Linked DNA regions of Macaca fascicularis. The protein of the gene in region 4 interacts with the protein of the main gene of each other region in a biochemical or structural test. Links are inferred from orthologs where the notes say so. Each region holds a gene or a part of one and is shown on either strand. Other genes may lie near its edges.

The links.
Region 1: the proteins of BMPR1B (region 4) and GDF5 interact in a biophysical measurement, tested with the Homo sapiens proteins (3 studies listed by BioGRID and IntAct, with this or other methods). The link is inferred for Macaca fascicularis from reciprocal best matches to the Homo sapiens genes BMPR1B and GDF5.
Region 2: the proteins of BMPR1B (region 4) and BMP2 form a complex in vitro, tested with the Homo sapiens proteins (3 studies listed by BioGRID and IntAct, with this or other methods). The link is inferred for Macaca fascicularis from reciprocal best matches to the Homo sapiens genes BMPR1B and BMP2.
Region 3: the proteins of BMPR1B (region 4) and BMP7 form a complex in vitro, tested with the Homo sapiens proteins (2 studies listed by BioGRID). The link is inferred for Macaca fascicularis from reciprocal best matches to the Homo sapiens genes BMPR1B and BMP7.

The regions. Positions count from the first base shown.
Region 1 is NC_088384.1:91,491,453-91,496,296, reverse strand, and holds the start of GDF5 (growth/differentiation factor 5), read left to right. Parts: upstream 1-1,679; 5' UTR 1,680-2,031; coding exon 2,032-2,656; intron 2,657-4,844. UniProt on the Homo sapiens protein: Growth factor involved in bone and cartilage formation. During cartilage development regulates differentiation of chondrogenic tissue through two pathways.
Region 2 is NC_088384.1:80,544,457-80,549,085, forward strand, and holds the start of BMP2 (bone morphogenetic protein 2), read right to left. Parts: upstream 3,250-4,629; 5' UTR 2,065-3,249; intron 826-2,064; 5' UTR 819-825; coding exon 473-818; intron 1-472. UniProt on the Homo sapiens protein: Growth factor of the TGF-beta superfamily that plays essential roles in many developmental processes, including cardiogenesis, neurogenesis, and osteogenesis. Induces cartilage and bone formation.
Region 3 is NC_088384.1:113,316,917-113,321,585, forward strand, and holds the start of BMP7 (bone morphogenetic protein 7), read right to left. Parts: upstream 3,230-4,669; 5' UTR 2,731-3,229; coding exon 2,313-2,730; intron 1-2,312. UniProt on the Homo sapiens protein: Growth factor of the TGF-beta superfamily that plays important role in various biological processes, including embryogenesis, hematopoiesis, neurogenesis and skeletal morphogenesis.
Region 4 is NC_088379.1:100,764,317-100,768,427, reverse strand, and holds part of BMPR1B (bone morphogenetic protein receptor type-1B), read right to left. Parts: intron 2,327-4,111; coding exon 2,196-2,326; intron 413-2,195; coding exon 287-412; 3' UTR 1-286. UniProt on the Homo sapiens protein: On ligand binding, forms a receptor complex consisting of two type II and two type I transmembrane serine/threonine kinases.

The DNA.
Region 1 (4,844 bases), on a different chromosome or scaffold from region 4:
CATGCCACTGCACTCCAGCCTAGGTGACAGCGCGAGACTCTGTCTCAAAAAAAAAAAAAAAAAGAAAAGCCTAGCTGACTATTGCTTCTCCCCGGCCGTCCTTCTTACAGCATAACAAGTGTTGTTGCAGTGAAATGTACAAAAGGGGTAATTGGCCCTGTCTGGGGACCAGGAAAGACTTCCCGAAGGAGGTGAATTTTCAGCTAAACTTCTCAGGATGTGGAGTGCTTCCTCCAGTTGTGGGAGAGAGAGAGGAGGAGATTTCAGGTGAAGTGAACAGCTTTCCCCGCTGACCCTGGGGTAAGTTGCCCAGGGGCTCTATCGCACAGGTCCCCCAGAGGAAGGGAGCTTCCATACTTCAATGGGTTTTCATTTAGAATACTCGAGTTCAGCTGGAATTCAGAACTTCCAGACTTACCAGAAAAGCATCATGTGGGAAATTGTGCCGGGCGCAGTGGCTCACGCCTATAATCTCAGCGCTCTAGGAGACCGAGGCAGCTGGATCACGATGTCAGGAGATGGAGACCATCCTGGCTAACACGGTGAAACCCCGTCTGTGCTACAAACATAAAAAATCAGCCGGGCGTGGTGGCGGGGGCCTGTAGTCCCAGCTACTCGGGAGGCTGAGTCGGGAGAACGGCGTGAACCTGGGAGGCGGAGCTTGCAGGGAGCCGAGATCGCGCCACTGCACTCCAGCCTGGGCTACACAGCGAGACTCCGTAGAAAAAAAGAAAAAAGAAAAAAGAAAAGCATCATGTGGGAAATGGCTTTTCCAGCCTCCTGTAGGGGCCGCTGCTGCCCCAGACTCAGCCAGTCTCTTCTAAGAAAACTCGGAGGACGTCTTTGCCGGGGTGGAGGTGGGGTACACCCTGGACCTGCCGCCATCCAAGGAGTGGACTTAAGGGCGGCAGTGCCCCCAAGCCTGAAGAATATGCACTCAGTCAATGGCATTTGGTGGTAGGGAGGGGGTGTAGTGGGCACAGATATTTTTCAGTCTCTGGGTCACCACAAGTTTATTAAAATAAAAGAAAATGTGGGTAAATGCTGCCATCTGTGCTGTCCCTACTCCCAATACACACACACACACACACACACACACACACACACAGAGGCACACACACACAGACACACATAAACACACACATACAACAAATCAGGTCCCAGGCTAGATGCAGGAGTTGAAACTGCTTTAAAAACACTCTAAGGACTTAACTACAAACCCACACTCCCCATGCTTCTGGGGCTTAAGATCTTTGAGCTCATTCTTCAGCATCTCTCCTTGGGAAGGTGGGGTGGGCTGCTCCATGAGGTGGAGGTGAAGACCCCTGAGTCTGCTCCATGGAGGGGGAGGCCCCCTAAGCCTAGAGTCCCGCTGCGGGGCTCTGTGCCAAGAGCCCCCGTGAGCCATGGCCTCGAAAGGGCAGCGGTGATTTTTTTCACATAAATATATCGCACTTAAATGAGTTTAGACAGCATGACATCAGAGAGTAATTAAATTGGTTTGGGTTGGAATTCCGTTTCCAATTCCTGAGTTCAGGTTTGTAAAAGATTTTTCTGAGCACCTGCAGGCCTGTGTGTGTGTGTGTGTGTGTGTGTGTGTGAAGTATTTTCACTGGAAAGGATTCAAAACTAGGGGGAAAAAAAAACTGGAGCACACAGGCAGCATTACGCCATTCTTCCTTCTTGGAAAAATCCCTCAGCCTTATACAAGCCTCCTTCAAGCCCTCAGTCAGTTGTGCAGGAGAAAGGGGGCGGTCGGCTTTCTCCTTTCAAGAACAAGTTATTTTCAGCTGCTGACTGGAGACGGTGCACGTCTGGATACGAGAGCATTTCCACTATGGGACTGGATACAAACACACACCCGGCAGACTTCAAGAGTCTCAGACTGAGGAGAAAGCCTTTCCTTCTGCTGCTACTGCTGCTGCCGCTGCTTTTGAAAGTCCACTCCTTTCATGGTTTTTCCTGCCAAACCAGAGGCACCTTCGCTGCTGCCGCTGTTCTCTTTGGTGTCATTCAGCGGCTGGCCAGAGGATGAGACTCCCCAAACTCCTCACTTTCTTGCTTTGGTACCTGGCTTGGCTGGACCTGGAATTCATCTGCACTGTGTTGGGTGCCCCTGACTGGGGCCAGAAAGCCCAGGGGACCAGGCCAGGATTGGCCAAAGCAGAGGCCAAGGAGAGGCCCCCCCTGGCCCGGAACGTCTTCAGGCCAGGGGGTCACAGCTATGGTGGGGGGGCCGCCAATGCCAGGGCAAAGGGAGGCACCGGGCACACAGGAGGCCTGACACAGCCCAAAAAGGATGAACCCAAAAAGCTGCCCCCCAGACCGGGTGGCCCTGAACCCAAGCCAGGACACCCTCCCCAAACAAGGCAGGCTACAGCCCGGACTGTGACCCCAAAAGGACAGCTTCCCGGGGGCAAGGTACCCCCAAAAGCAGGATCTGTCCCCAGCTCCTTCCTGCTGAAGAAGGCCAGGGAGCCCGGGTCCCCGCGAGAGCCCAAGGAGCCGTTCCGCCCGCCCCCCATCACACCCCACGAGTACATGCTCTCGCTGTACAGGACGCTGTCCGATGCTGACAGAAAGGGAGGCAACAGCAGCGTGAAGTTGGAGGCTGGCCTGGCCAACACCATCACCAGCTTTATTGACAAAGGGCAAGGTGAGGGGGCGGGGTGGCAGGGGCACGGCTCAGAGGGAGGGGCATCTGCATGAATGGAGGGGCTTTCAAAGCCCTGGCACTGCCCTGGTGGGAGACACTGTGTGCATCTGGCCCGGGGTGGGTGTATGGGGACGCTCACACATATCTCACACATAGCAGATCCCGAGCTGCCCACACATCAGGGCTGGAGGGCACCTAGGAATCACCAGGTTCAATGCCTGCAAGGTGCAGGGCGGGCACTAAAGCCTAGAGAGGAGACAACACCTGCCAGTTGGTGGCAGAGTTGGAGACCGGATTCCAAGACTTGATTCCCCAGCTGTGCATCTGTCCCTGCTGGGCTGGCCGAACTTTCCACGCTCCAGGGGTTTGTAGGTGGTCTCAGATGGCAGAGAAAGAAATGAATCTTGAGGTCCCCGTGGTTCTGCAACTTTGCCCTCAGGCAAGGGGATAGAGGAGGCAAGAGAGGTGCTCACAGTAAATGGGGCATCTTGGAGTCATGGAATGATGTTCGAATATATGGGGAGGGAGCAGACCTAGGGTCTAACTCGCAGTGTGACCTTGGGAAAGCCCCTTCTCACTTGGGGTCTCTGTTTTCCCATCTGTACACCTATATGGGGTTGGACAGGGTGGTTTCTGAGAGCGCTTCCGACATGAAAACTTTAGGTCCTGTCCTGAACACGCCTCATTCTCCTTACATTAACTCGGGAGACCTCTCTCTGCTCCCCTCTGTCTCTCTCTGCCCACCTAGTGTTACTGTTGCAGCTTTTCCTCTCCACTTGCTGTGTGATCTAAGCAAGTCCCTCCCGCTCTGAGGGCCTCAGTTTCTTCCTAGTGTGAAGAGGGAGGTGGGCTGTTGGTCGCTCAAGTTGCCTGCAGCTCATTTGCTCTGGTCCTAGGCTGGCAGGGTGGGGGAGGGGTCAGAGGGTGGGAGAGGTTTCTCATTAGAGCTGGCCTGGAGGGGGCTGCCGGGGCGGGGGGTGGGGGGGTGGGAGAGGCACAGAGGCAGCAGGTCTGGCTGAGGTGGGGGAGGTGGTCTGGCTGCCTGCCCAGCCAGGGAAAGCTGTGACCCCTTGGGGGCTCATAAAATAAGTCCTTGTGCCCCCCAGCACTAAGGGAGCTTCGAGAGGGGGAGATGGGGAGTTTAAAGGCCTAATTAGTCACCTTCTAGAGCAATATATGAAAGCTCCCCAATGGCAAATTGGTATTCAGGAAGGAGGGCATGCTGATTCAGAGATACTACTGAGCTTCTCACATAAACATACATAGCCTTATGTTTATACAGACGTGCTGAATCACACATGTACACGCATGCTGACTCACACACGTACACACATGCTGAACCACACATGTACACACATGCCGAATCACACATGTACACGCATGCCGAATCACACACGTACGCATGTGCACACACACCTTCTTACATACACGTGTACACAAGATCGATTATGCACATACATACATATATGTGCTCTTCAAATAGTACACAAGCCCAATCATTTATACATATAATGCATCATTAACGTATACTCTTTCATATTCACACATGAACCCAACATTAACGTATACTCTTTCATATTCACACATGAACCTAATCACACACACACATACAACTGTAACACACGCACACACTCAGGAGAGTAAGACACATAGGCAACAAAATCCTTGCACTGGGAAGCCAGGAAAATTGGGCTGTAGGTCAGTGTGGACCAGCTTTGACATTAAGTTGCTGTGTGACCTTAGTCAAGTCACTCCCCATCTCTGTGCCTCATCTGTAAAACAAGAGCACTAAGGTCTCCTTTAAGGGATGGTGGAAGCAACTGAGAATTTGAGCAAGTCATCTAACTTCTCTGAACCTTGGGATTCTCCTCCAGAAAAGCATGGGTTTTTTTTGTTGTTGTTGTTTATTTGTTTTGTTGTTGTTTGTTTGTTTGTTTTTTAGCCAGGGTCTCTCTCTGTTGCCCAGGCTGGAGTGCAGTAGTGAATTCATGGCTCACTGAAGCCTCGACCTCCCTGGGGTCAGTCAATCCTCCCACCTCAGCCTCCTGAGTAGCTGGGACTACATGTGCACGCCACCATGCCTGGTTAGTTTTTGTATCTTTTTGTAGAGACAGAGTGTCACCATGTTGTGCAGGCTAGTTTCAAACTCCTGAGCACAAGCAATCTGCCCACCTCAGCCTCCCAAAGT
Region 2 (4,629 bases), on a different chromosome or scaffold from region 4:
TTTCAATACTATCTCTGAAAACTCTGCCCTTGGCTCTGTCTACCCTGAAACCCTGGCTTAAGCAGCAGATTTATAGAGCAAAAGCTTCCAAACAGACTTAAAGAAATCTTAATCTGCCTCCCTTTTCCTCCTTTTCCCTCTGTGGAATTCTTGCACGTTTAGCTGACTAGGGGCATGCCTTTTGCCCTCATCTTCCCCATCACTTGATTTCTCTCCAATCCTTCCGGGAGGAGTAGCTCTTCTGGCTGCAAGCCAGGAAGAGGGTGCGGAGTTACTAAAGGGGAATCCCTGGCTCCACCACCACACAAGCAGTGAGTTAAAATCAGATTCAGAAACCATAGTACAGAAGCAAGAGTGGAAACGTCCGCTGGCGCCCTGGCTAAGCTGCCTCTATAGGGATGGCTGCAGTCTGCCCACGGTGGAGGGCTTTGCAGGGTGACTCCCCGCCCCCACGCCCTGCTCCATGCCTCACCTTCATGGTGGAAGCTGCGCACAGTGTTGGCTCGGCTGGCTGCCCTCTCCAACCGGTGGTCTGGGGCAGGTGAGCCCGGCTGACCCGAGTGCCTGCGATACAGGTCTAGCATGTAGGGGGGCACCACGGCGTCCCTGCTGGGGGTGGGTCTCTGTTTCAGGCCGAACATGCTGAGCAGCCGCAACTCGAACTCGCTCAGGACCTCGTCAGAGGGCTGGGATGAGGGGCGGCCCGACGACGACGCCGCGAACTTCCTGCGGCCCAGCTCCGGAACGAGGCCAGCCGCGCCGCCCAGGAGGACCTGGGGAAGCAGCAACGCTAGAAGACAGCGGGTCCCGGCCACCATGGTCGACCTGCGGACAGGACCGACGTGAGTCACCCGAGCTCCCCGCCCAGTCCTCCCCCCTCGCGCCCCCGCGGCCCGGGCTCCCATTTGGCTGGCGTGCCTCCTCCAGGTTGCCCTCCTGGCTTGGCACACTCGCGAGTCTAGGTAAGACCGACCGAAGCTCAAATGTTTGGGATAATGAAGGGCCCCAAGTTCCAGAACCAGGTGATTTATCGCTCCCATCCAACTCTTAACTTGTCTAACATCAGATTTGGGGTTTGCCCTCCCCTCCCAACCAAACCAGCGCCAATGACTGTCACTTTTTTGTGTGTAACACAGCGCTGACTGCCAATGCTGGGAACCTGGGAGAACCACCGCTTGGTCTGACACCCTGCGTCCCCTATACAAACCCAAATGCAGAGCGCTGAGCGCTCTCTGGCATATAAACACACACAAATGGTGCATGTGACTTCCTTAGAGGCACTGTATAGAACTTCCTGACACACACACACACACCCCTATAACTTCCAGACCCTGTAAGCTCAAGGCCACAACTTCTGAAGCCACTTACAACTTGTGTCCCACGCCCCTACACTCAGGGGTGTCTGGAGAGGCAACTCCATCCCGCATCCCCGTAGTACGGTCAAGATACTCATGTATCTTCCTGGGATTACATACATGGTGAATATCTATTAATGCACGTGTCAGCTGTTAAAAACACAGCACCAAGTGATTCTTCAGTACTGACCCCTCGCATTTCTGGAAACAAGAAGGGAGAGCCCCAACTCCTAGTACTTTTCTCAATGGGATAGGGCTCTGAGTAAAGAAACCAAGTCTCCCAGAAACACTAGAAGAAGGGAGATCGCCATGGCAGGGTGGACAGGTTCTCAGCTAACGGGTGAAACCCAGGGGCTACCCTCTCAAAGGGATTTCTTTGACTCAAAAAAAAAATAAATAAATAAATAAATAAAATAAATAATTTAAAAATAAATAAATAAACAAAACACCTCATCTAAGTGTTAACAGCTCCAAAAGTATTCCGGGGAGAGGGTAAGAAAGAGGGGTGGAAGAGTGCGGGCCGGGAGGGTGAGGCTGATGGTCGCCCGGGACAGCTGGAAGGGGGCACCCCGCAGGGCTCCGTTGCACGTGGACTGGAAAGGGGTCTGTTTACTTCTGGCCTGGACGTAAGGAAGGGCTCTGCCGCAGTGGCTGCCCAAATCCCCCTCCCACCTACCACCTACCCCGGCCCCTGGCCCGCGTCCTCTACCTTTAGGAGACCGCAGTCCGTCTAAGAAGCACGCGGAGACACGTCCATTGAAAGAGCGTCCACATGGAAAAACTCTGGTCAAAGGACCTGGCGCAAGGACCGAATGTCCGTTCCTTTTCTTTGCCTCCTCCTTCTCCCGGGTGCCGGCCGCGCAGTCTCTTTTCACGCTGGGAACAGCGTCTCAGTCTCGGGCAAGGCCGAGGAGTGGAGGGGCGGTGGGGCTCGGAGGTGGCGAGGCAGGCTCCGCTGGGGCAAAGGCACGGGCGCAAAGTGGGGAGCTCAAGTTATTCTCCCTGCAAGTTCAAGAAGTCCCCAGCCAAGTGCTGACACACAACAACAGCGAGCAGGGGGAGGAGTGCGGGGCAGGGAAAGGAAGGGAGAAAGGAGAAGCTGGTGCTGTCGTCCTCCTTAGGAACCAGCGCCCGAGGGACGCGTGGCCCCGCGCGGGGCCGGCTCCAGGACTCAGGGAGCGAGGGTCGGGCGCTCTGCGCTAGCTCCGCCGCGGCCCATGGCTCGGGGCAGCCATCCTGGGCGACGCCGGGTCCGGGGAAGGGCACGGCGGCGATTTCGGTGCCAGGCGAGTTGCCCCCCCGCATCACTCTGCCTTACTCCAGTGCACCCCCATTCGCGCTCGCCAGTTGAAAGCACCGCGGCTCTGGCGCCCCGTCGTCCTCGGGCGCATTCTCCGGCGAGTCGAGCCAAGTCCCGGGCCGCCGAGGCGGGTGGTTGTGCTCTCTCCTCTCTCTCCTAACCCTGGGGCCAAATGCCCTTTGTGACTAGCCTGGGGTCCGATCACACCTCGGCCGGCGCTTCCCAGGCCCCCGATCTCCTGCAGTAGGTGCCCCGCATCGCGGCGCTAGGGATCGGCTCCGGAGTCGCCGGCGCTCTGCGCGCCCGTCCGCGACTCTGGCGCAGCCGGGGCAGCAGAGGCCACGGCGCTGTGGCGCGCTCTGCCGGGTGCTCCAGCCCGCGCGGGGTCTGCGGCGCGCGGATGCCTCGCGGTCCCCGGTGATCCGCGCGGCGCTGGCCCCGAGAACGTTCGGGTCGCCGGCGGAGGCTGTGGCGGCAGATGTGCGGCGGAGGCTGCCAGTCCCCGGCAGGGTGTGGGAAGCGGAGCGACTAGCGCAGCGCGAGCCCGGCGCAGCGCGGCGGGGCGAGGACTCCGGCGGCGACGGCGGCGGCGGCGCCGTGGCGCGGCGCTCGCGGCTTTTAAAGGGGACGCCGCCTGCCGGCTCCCTCCCGGCCGCGGCCGAACACCTCCCCCTTCGCGGCGCGGCTCGCCGGGGATCCCCGAGCGGGCGGGAGCTGCGCGCAGGGGTGTGGACGGCGCGCCCGGGCAGCCGCGGCGGGGTGGGGCGGAGGGCGGGGGCGCGCGGCCGCCAAGGGGGGCGCTCGCGCCTCCACTCCCTGTCCTCAAAGGAGAGATCAGCTGGCGCGCCGGACCCTCGCGGGGACTCCGGAGGCGAAATCCAGGACAAATGCAGGGTCAGGGTCTGGCTTCTATTTCCCCTCTGGGCCCGTTATTCAACTTTCAGTTTGGAGTTTTTCGATAATATACAATTTCAAAAAACAAAACAAAACAAACACCTCAATTACAGCGCATTTTGGCATAGCATAGACGTCGGATTCACGCTTCTGTTTCCCCGGAATAGGAGGAAAATTAAAAGAAAACAGGAGGCTGGAAATTGAGTGTTTTTAAACATTAATACAAAGAGATGTATGTATTTACATATGTAAATGCATGTGTACAAATTTCCTTTTACATAAATATGTGTGTGCATTTATTTTCATATCCATATGCATGTTACAGTTATATAAATATATCCAATATACAAAAATATGTACATATATTTCTATATATTCATATATGAGAACATATGCAACCGAAGGTAAACATTTCGGTAAATATATGTCTACGTGTGTGACATGGATGTCATCCTGCTTTACGTGACATGTGTGTAACGTAGACTGTGTGTGTGGCAGCCTGAGGGATGGATGGGAGGGATTTGATTTCTTTTCATGGTACAACCACTTTGTGCCTTGTGATGTTTATCTCACCCAGCTCAGAGGCAGGCGATTAACAGCTCAGAGGAAGGTAAAATAACGCACTGTGTGAACCAAGCATACAGGACAATTTCAGTTTGGGACCTTGGAACCTTCTACTCCACCCTCTTCCATCAGGCCCCCAAGAAGTAGGGCTGTGACACGTGGCCAAGTCACTCCTCAGCTGAATATTCGCTCAAGTCACTCCTCAGCCGAAACATTCCTCAGAGCTGCTGCACGATGAGTCTGGGGCCAAGGCTTTCTGGCCTTCCCAGGATTCCAGGAGCCCCCATGCACAGCACCTCGGGCTTGCCCAAATGATTCCCGAAATCAAGGGCAGAACATTTTTGGAAGAGGCCACGGTCTACTTTCCCAGAGCTATCGGGCCTGCAAACCAGAGAGAAAAAAGTCAAGCGGGAGCTGGTAATAAAACTATTATCCATGTGTATTATTTTTTCGGTGGGGGAGCTAAAATAATACCAGGTTCCGCTCACGTAAATCGGATTAGCAACCCACAGAGGC
Region 3 (4,669 bases), on a different chromosome or scaffold from region 4:
CCAAACAAGTCCCAGCTTGCTCCTGCCGCCATGGGGGAAGCAAATAGCCAGCACCAAGGTTCCCAGAGGCACCCTCCGAGCAAGCTGGTCTTTCTCTGGGGGACAGGGAGCCCCTGGGGCCTCGCCCACACCGCCGGCCCATAAGCAGTGGCAGCTTTTTTGCTCTTGGTTTGCAGGGCCTTCTACAGAAGCCGGAGATTACAAATACCTTTTTAATGACCCCAGCCAGGCTCTGAAGGCAGCCGCTGGGATCTGCACATTCAGTGGGAGTCCAGGGTACCCAACAGAATGGAAGATGCCATAAATCCCCCACCAGAGAAAGGGCCTTGGCTAACCCCAGGCTTCAGGAGGGCGACAGAGCTCTGCCTTCATTATTTGTGTGTATGTATTTGGAATTTTCCTTTAGTTTTTGGTATAGTTAATAAATACGCATTGTTTTTTTAAAAAAATCACCAATACAGAAGTGCAGACAATGAAACATTAGACCCCAGCTCCCACTCCCTAAGCCCCAGCTGTGCCCCCACCTCTCTAGCCCTCCAGTAAGATCTCTCTCCAGTTCCTGGTGTCTTCCTCCAGGAGGACACGATGATACACAAAAGCATACATGCAGGCCGCTCACCTGCACCTTGCTTCTTTCCACCTCATGCATCTCGGAGATGGTTCTAAATCAGGTCATATGTTGCTGCTTCCCTCTTAACTGGCTGCTTAGTATAATTTAAACTTTCTTGAAGGTATTTTGGCATCTAAACCTCCCACCCCTTGCTCGCTGAAGCTTGGCTCACTAGCTGGATTTGGTTATTAAGTACAGACAATGGCCTCCCCGGGAACTCCAGGGACCTTATCAGGAGGGGGAAGCATGAAGGCGGATCTGCGCTTCCCCGCGCCCCCAGTCCACGCCCCAGGTGCCCAGCGTGGGGCTTCAGTATCATTATTTCCATGTTGACACAGCGCCCGTGGGCGTGAGTTTGCTGTCTTGACTTGGTTCGGGTTTTCGCAGCAAGTTACACAAGTAGAATGAAAGCGCTCAGGAAACAGCGCTATCCGGGCGTGTTATCTCGGAAACCAAATATTTGATCATCAGTCCCGCAGAGCGCTGCCGGGGGTTAGTTTGAGCAAGTCTGGAGAATGAGTGCGCGCAGACGGAGGGGGAGCTCCCCGGCCCTCGCCGCAGCCCCAGGCTCGCGTCCCCGGGGTCGTCGCGGCTCCAATCGTAAACTGGGACCCCCAGTCGCCCCCGCGGCGTCAGCTCGGAGATCCCGCGCAACCCAATCGCCAAAACCTGTGGTTTGCGCGCCACACGTGATAAATGCTGAAAATGGATTCTGCCGGCCCGAGACCTACCACTAAATATTTAAAATAGAAAACTAGAGCCAGGGCACTGTGGCTCACGCCTGTATTCCGAGCACTTTGGGAGGTTGAGGCAGGAGGATCACCTGAGATCGGGAGTTCGAGACCAGCCTGACCAACATGGAGAAACACAGTCTCTACTAAAAATACAAAATTAGCCAGGCGTGGTGGTGCATGCCTGTAATCCCAGCTACTCGGGAGGCTGAGGCACGAGAATCGCTTGAACCCGGGAGGCAGAGGTTGCGGTGAGCAAGGATTGCGCCATTGTACTGCAGCCTGGACAAGAAGAGCGAAACTCCGTCTCAAAAAAAAAAAAAAAAAGAAAAAAAGAAAATAAAGAAAATAAAAGAAAGAAAAAAAAAGAAAAAAGAAAAGAACGCAAACTAGCAAGCTCCCCAACTCCAGCCAAGAGAGAATGGGGCATCCGGCGGCCCGGAGAGGGGCCCCAAGGCGTTCGGAGCGCGCGGTAGGCTAAGGCGGGCGCACCACTAGGGGACAGGTAGGGCTTGTCAGGGCGGGTAAGGGAGTGCGACGGCCGAGATGCCAGGGCCAGGCAGGGCTGAGAGGGGCCCAGGAAGGGCGGGAAGGCAGCCTCGCCGGGAAGGGCCCTTTACATCCAGGTAGCGCGAGCCGCGCCAGCCCAGGACAGCTCACATGACCAAGCCCCGCGCTTTGAACGGCCGGCGCCTCCAGTCCCAGAGATGCGGCCGGCGGCGTAACATGGAGGGGACTTCCGAGGATCCCTCCTTCCCAGTAACCCCCACAGGCCCACCGAGCCCAGCGCGCCAGACCTGGAGGCGCACACAGCTTGGGAGCCATAGGGCCGTGGGTGGGAGACCCTCGGGCAGGCACTGCGATTTCAACCAGGAGCAGAAAGCTGGGCGGGCTGTATAGAAGAAGCGGCTCCCTCCCTCCCGGTTTCAAAGTGCCCCCGAACAGACACGCGTACCCCCGCCTGCCCTTACCGAGGTTGACGAAGCTCATGACCATGTCGGCGTCGGTGAGGAAATGGCTATCTTGCAAGCTGGCCAGAGGGGGGCCCTGGGTGCTGAAGACGGCCTTGTAGGGGTAGGAGAAGCCCTGGCCGCCGGGCCCGCCGCCCTCCTCCACCGCCATGGCGTTGTACAGGTCCAGCATGAACATGGGCGCCGAGTTGTGCTTGCCCTGGAGGTGCGGGCGCGGGCGGTGGGGCAAGCCCAAAATGGAGAGGATCTCGCGCTGCATCTCCCGCCGCTCCTGGCTGCGGAGGCGCCGATGGATGAAGCTCGAGTGCACCTCGTTGTCCAGGCTGAAGTCGGCCAGGGCGGAGCGCAGCAGGAACAGGGGTGCCCAGAGCGCCACGAAGCTGTGCGGCGCCGCAGCGCGCAGCGAGCGCACGTGCATCGCGCCGGCTCTACGCGCGACCCGGGCTCCGGGCTTCGGGCTCCGGGCCCGCACCGCCCCAGGTGGCAGAAGGGGCAGGCGGCCGTTCGCGCCGCTCGGTCACTTGCTGCAGACGGGCCCCGCTGCGCCCGCGCCAGACATGGCCCCTCCCCGGCCTGCCGCGCTCTGCCCGGACCCCCGCCCCCTGCTGGGTGCTGGCCCCGGGCCCCTCGCCCCGCACTCGCCCGGGCGCACCGCCGGGCTTGGAAAGCAGCCCCGGCGAACGAAGAGGCGAGTGAGGAGGCGGGCGCGGGTGGGAGGAGCAGCCAGCAAGCCTAGGAGTCCAGAGAGCCAGTGCCGGGGAGGCAGCGAGGAGGCAGGCGGGCGGGCTAGCGCTCCTTCTTCCCGCTCCTCTGGCGCTCTCGCCCTCAGGCGGCGGCGACCCACCCTCTTCCAACCTCTGGCGTGGAGAGCAGGGGCCCCGGGGCGCTCTCCCAGCCCTGCGCGCCCTGGATCGCACAAGAGGCCGCCTCTGGAGCGCCAGAGTGGTACACGCTGGGGCCTGGGCAGAGGAGGAGGAGGAGGACGGGCTTCAAGGGGCCCCTCCCGCGCCGGCGGCCTCCCACCTGCCCTCGGCCCCGCCCTCCCCCTAGCTGTGCCCAATGGGTTCATTCATTCCCTCTAGAGCGCTCGACAAATGTTTACCGAGTGCCCACGGGGAGCCTAGAGCCTGGCGGGACGTCGCGGGGATGCGGCTGGAGGAATCCAAGCCGGCCCTGCCCTCTTGGCACTCGCGGTCCGGACCAGGAAGGCGGCCCGAACGGGACCGGTGGGCTGCGGGCCGCGGTGGGAAAAGTTGGGGGAGCGCGGAGGTGGCGCGGAAATAGAAGGCTTCCTGGAAGCGGTGACCCTTGAGGCGGTCTTGCCCCTCAGTCCCCGTCTCCTTTTAAGCCAGCCACGCTGACCCCTCCGCGCCTCTCTGAACCGGTTGCCAGCTTGTCTCTGCGCTCGCCATTCCCTCCGCCTGGACGCCTTCCGGCTCACCACCTCCCGCCCCCCATCAGACCCTGCTTTCTCCCAGAGACCTCCAAGACCTGCCAAGCTGAGGTTGTTTCCTCGCCTCACCCCCACGTACATTTGTTTTCTTTCCTGTAATTTCTCTTGCTGTCTGGAATTGTTGTTTGAGTTACTCCGTGCCTTCTTTATTGCCTTCTTATCCCCGCTAGACGCCCAGCGCACTGAGGCCAGGACCAGCGATCTTCTCCGCAGCTCTGGTGCCCGCAGTGCCTTGAACCCAGCGCCTGGTAGCCACTGTGGCTGCGCAATCACGATTTGTTGAGTGAATAAGTGAACTTCGTTTGAGCTGGGGGGTTCTTCCCACTTTCTCCTCTAAGGGGCCCTGTATCTTTCCAGCCACCCCTCAGCCTGAGACCAGACACCCCAGCCCCACCACTAGGGGTTCCCATCAGCCCTCCCCGTCGCAGTGCCTGGGGAGCCAGCCGCTGGTCTTCGCATCCTCTTCCCCTCCAAGGGTCTGTGCCTGAGACCTCCCCATCAGCCTCCTCTCCTGCCTCTCCTCATCTATTCATCCCTCAATCAATACTGAGACATGCACGCTGTCACAGCGAGTCCCCAGACCACTCAGAACCTACTGGTCCCTCTGCCAGTGTGGGATCTCAAGGGAATTACTGCACCCAGAGTGGCAGTGAGGGCAGCAGGGTAAAAGTTCATCCTGTCTCCTTCCCCTGCTGGGGCTGGGTGAGAGAGGATCCCCAGAGGGGCTCTGGGATGAACTGGGAAGGACTGAGGTTAGGGAAGCGGGTGGGGGCAGGGGGGTTGTCTGGGAGGGGCTCTGGCTAAGCCTCACTTTGGGGCTGTCCTTCCTGGAGCACGAGAGCTGGGGAAGAGAATTATGGTCTTCGACAGTTTTCTGGAGCAGAAGTAGTTTGACCAAGTGGTC
Region 4 (4,111 bases):
AATCCCAAAATACAGGGCTTTCTCAGAAAGCAACATGCATCATATCTTGAACAAGTTACCCAAGCGGTTTCTCCCTCCTACAAACAGACACAGATCAATCTCTGCTTCTGGGAGCTTCTCTGTCTTTGTCCAGGTCGCTCCCTGAGAGGTAAGGTCTGAACCCACTGGGAAGCAGGACGATGTTCAAGGCTTGTACTGTGGATGCTTATTTGACGTCTTTTGCTCTGCCCACAAACAGAAGAGTACCTGTTGGCTTTCTGCAGAGATGCTTACTTTTCCTGTCATATCAGAGTTTAATGTCCTGGGACTCTGACATTTTGGCAAGTGTTTTCTTAACACGCAGGGCTGTCAGCCTTGATGCAGGATTGTGAGCCCAGCATTCTGTCATGAGTTTCCCCATCTGCCTTAGACACTGAGGAAGAGAAATGTTAGAAAAATGTATCATCTGCAATGCTGGCACCTGATACAATGTAGCTTTTTAGCTTTAGGTTCATTAAGTTTGAATATATTTTTAAAAGGTACCCTTAAAACCATGTAGGAATAAAATTCTGTAGGTTTTTTTCATGCAAAATTATATATGACTAAAACAGATGTTCATGTCTTCTTTGTGACAGAAGCAAGCAGGTGGTTCTGCTGACTGTAGAAGGGTGTCTTTGAAGTTAGTGTTAAGCAAACATAAACATACCCAGGGAGTTTGTATTCCACTCAGTACTCCCAGATTGTTTACAACACTTGATAAGTTTAAATCTTTTATCTAATTCCACACTATGCAAACACAGTTATTCCTAAATCATAGCTGTCTGCTGCAGTAATAGCATCACACTGCACCATTTAACAAGATTAATGACCTGTGCACAGCATCACTAAAACTTTCTCCTGTGGTACATCAATTATTGGTCTTCCTATTGAAAAGTACAATTTCACTTCATAAGAAATCCTCAGTGAAGAGATTTCAAGTAACACCAAAAGCCGACAATAACAGAGCTCCAGCATCTCATAAAGCTTTCTGCACAGCTTGCTGGAAAACATATATTATTATATAGCATTTTAGTAACCAGACACAAAACCAACGAGCCAAAGGTGTTTTTGTTGTTGTTGTTGTTTGTTTGTTTTGAGACAGGGTCTTGGTCTGTCGAGTGCAGTGGCATGATTCTGGCTCACTGCAACCTCTGCCTTCTGGGTTCAAGCAATTCTTGTGCATCAATCTCCTGAGTAGGTGGGAATACAGGCGTGAACCACAACACTAAGCTATTGTTTGCATTTTTTAATAGAGATGGGTTTTCACTATATTGGCCAGGCTGGTCTTGAACTTCTGGACTCAAGTGATCCACCCGCCTCGGCCTGCCAAAGTGCTGGGATTACAGATGTGAGTCACCATGCCCGGCCCAGAGATTACTTTTAAATGGCTTTTACACTTAAGAAATAGTGCTCTGTCCCTCCTTTGCAGTGCTTTGGTAGATGTTTGATAAGAGCCGGGTTTTTTTTTTTTTTTTTTTTCTCCCAGCGGTGCTTCAAACTCATCTTGAATATTCCAGTCCGCCAGAGAACTCTAGAACACAGTGAGTTTGAAGGCTGGGAGGGTGGAAGGAGAGGAATGTGGAACAGGAGGAGGAGTCAGGAAAGGCTAGACTCATTTCCTCCTTCCTAGCAGCTCCTTTCCAGACCTATGTAGGTTTCACCACTACATCCTTAGAGCCAAGCTGAAGGTGGATTTGTTCAAATCACATATCATCCTTATTAACAAAGACACCCAGCACAGTCAGGTATCTTAACTAGGTCAACTTGTATCACTTTAACATGCTTACTTTTTTCTCTAATCAAAATGGGAGAACGCTGTACATGGGTTTGTTACAGAGAAAAATCATGATGCTTTAAAAACACACACAGAGAAATAATAGGTTTTATGCAAATGTCAAGACATTATAAATAAGGAAAATAGTGTTATTTGTTATGCAGGTTAAACACTGACCAGCCCACTCAATATATTCTGGAACTGGCAAAATAAAATTGGAAAAGTAGAACAAGTAATTTAATAAACTACACTTATCTTCATATAAATCACTGCAAAAAGGTGCCATCACCATCACCATTAAAACAAAGAAGAATTCCTACAATGAATACGTGGAATTTTGGCTAAAACAGAAGTCTATTTAGAAGTCAGTTGCAGCCACATGGTTACCTCAATTGAGCCTTACCTCATCACTGCTCCATCGGTTTGGGAATGAGGGGCGTAACTTCTTGATGCACACAATCTCTCTCATGTCCTCGTAGGAGGGGTCACTGGGCACTAGGTCATGATAAGGAAGCTGGTATTCTTCCACTATACCTAAAATGTGTTATTGTTATTATTTTCTGTGAAGTAGAAATAAAAGTCTAACACAGCTCTCAAAGGAAAAGTGCTATCAGTATTACAGACAAGTTCAGGCAGAAAAAAAGCAAAATAAACCTTGAAAAATATTTACCCAAATGGTGCTTAATCTAATTTAGAAAAAATGAATACAAAGCCCAATGAAAAGTATTATCATAGGTCTTCAAGACTTTCTTTCCTAATTTCCAAACGCTAAGTAAAACAAGCATCTTAAATTTATTTCCAATTTTATAAAGAACAAATTAAAAGACAAATCTATGTTAAATCTCAATGCAAATTTGCAAGACATATCCTGAACTCATATTACATAACATGTGACTATTTCTATTACTATAGTATGAAACTATGAACATAATTTGGAAGTGTATTCTACTTGAACGAAGTGTCAGATTTACATTTTTTTCTGCTTAATTGGAGGAATGTGGTTTTGTCCATTAAAATTTAGAAAATTATAGACACCCAAAAATATTAACTATGAATTTTTTAGGTCCAAGGATTATCTGATTTTTTTCTATATTTATCCAACTTTTCAATAACAAATACATTACTATTAGAAAAAGTATGTATTGTTAAGAGTTAAGAAATACAAATCTATAGCATCTTCATAAAAATGTACACTAAACTGTTTCATTTTATCGTTCCTAGTATTTCATTTCTACCTTTTTCCTCTTCTCCTTTAAAAATGCAGGCTTCTAGTGTCTTCTTTTTCACCTTCTCAGATTAACTCCTCATAATAATTACATTAGAGGCTGCTGCTCTGAACAGTCTGTTTATATAAAGCTACCTTGTTTTTAAGCTGAGAATAGTTTCTCCTGTATTTGGCCCACAGGCTTTCAAATATAGGCTTCTTATAGCCCTGTCTCTTTAGATGTTCAAGAAAACATAATTAGAAAATAATCTTGTTCTCTACACCTTTAACTTCCACAAAGCTACCTTAATTAAGTATAAGCATGTTATTTTTTAAAAGGCTCGTCTACTTGATTTTTTTTTCTTTTTTAATACAGACTGGGTCCCAACCTATTGCCCAGGCTAGTCCTTAACTCCTGGCTTCCAGCAATCCTCCCCACTCAGCCTCCCAAAATGCTGGGATTGCAAACGTGAGGTTTATCTACTCCTTATAATGCATGAAATCAAGGCATAGACCATCTGTTAATTTCTTGCTTACTTCTTCTTTACATTTAGAATGAGAAATTTATTCAATATCTGGTTAGAGAAAATTTCCTGCATTAACTTTCCTTTTGGACAAAACAGTTCTCTCACTTCAGAGAGAATGTGTCCTATTTCAAATTTCTTACAACAGGTTCAGAATTCCCAAAGTGATTATTAGAAGGCATTGTGCCACTGAAGATGATCTTTCTATCAAAGTATGAATGCAGGTTGATTAACTGTTTCTTCTTTGTATTTAAATATGAACCTAAAGATGGTATGGTTCTACCAACCAAAATGAAAATTTTTAATAGTAATAATAGCTAACATGTATTGAGTGCTAATTATGTGCCAGGCAGTTCTCATTATCTTTACATTCATTGAAACCATACAACCAAAGAAGCGGATACAATAATTCACTTCATCCTTAAGAGGAGAACTCTGAAACAAAGAAAAGGTTATAACCTGTCCAAGGCATCACAGGTAAATAGCAGGAACAAGAACAAATCTCAGTACTAGTTAAGTGCATGCTGCACTTTCAGAATCTTCAGCAAGCTCATGTTTTCATGAAGATAGATTTAAATTGGCCATCATGAG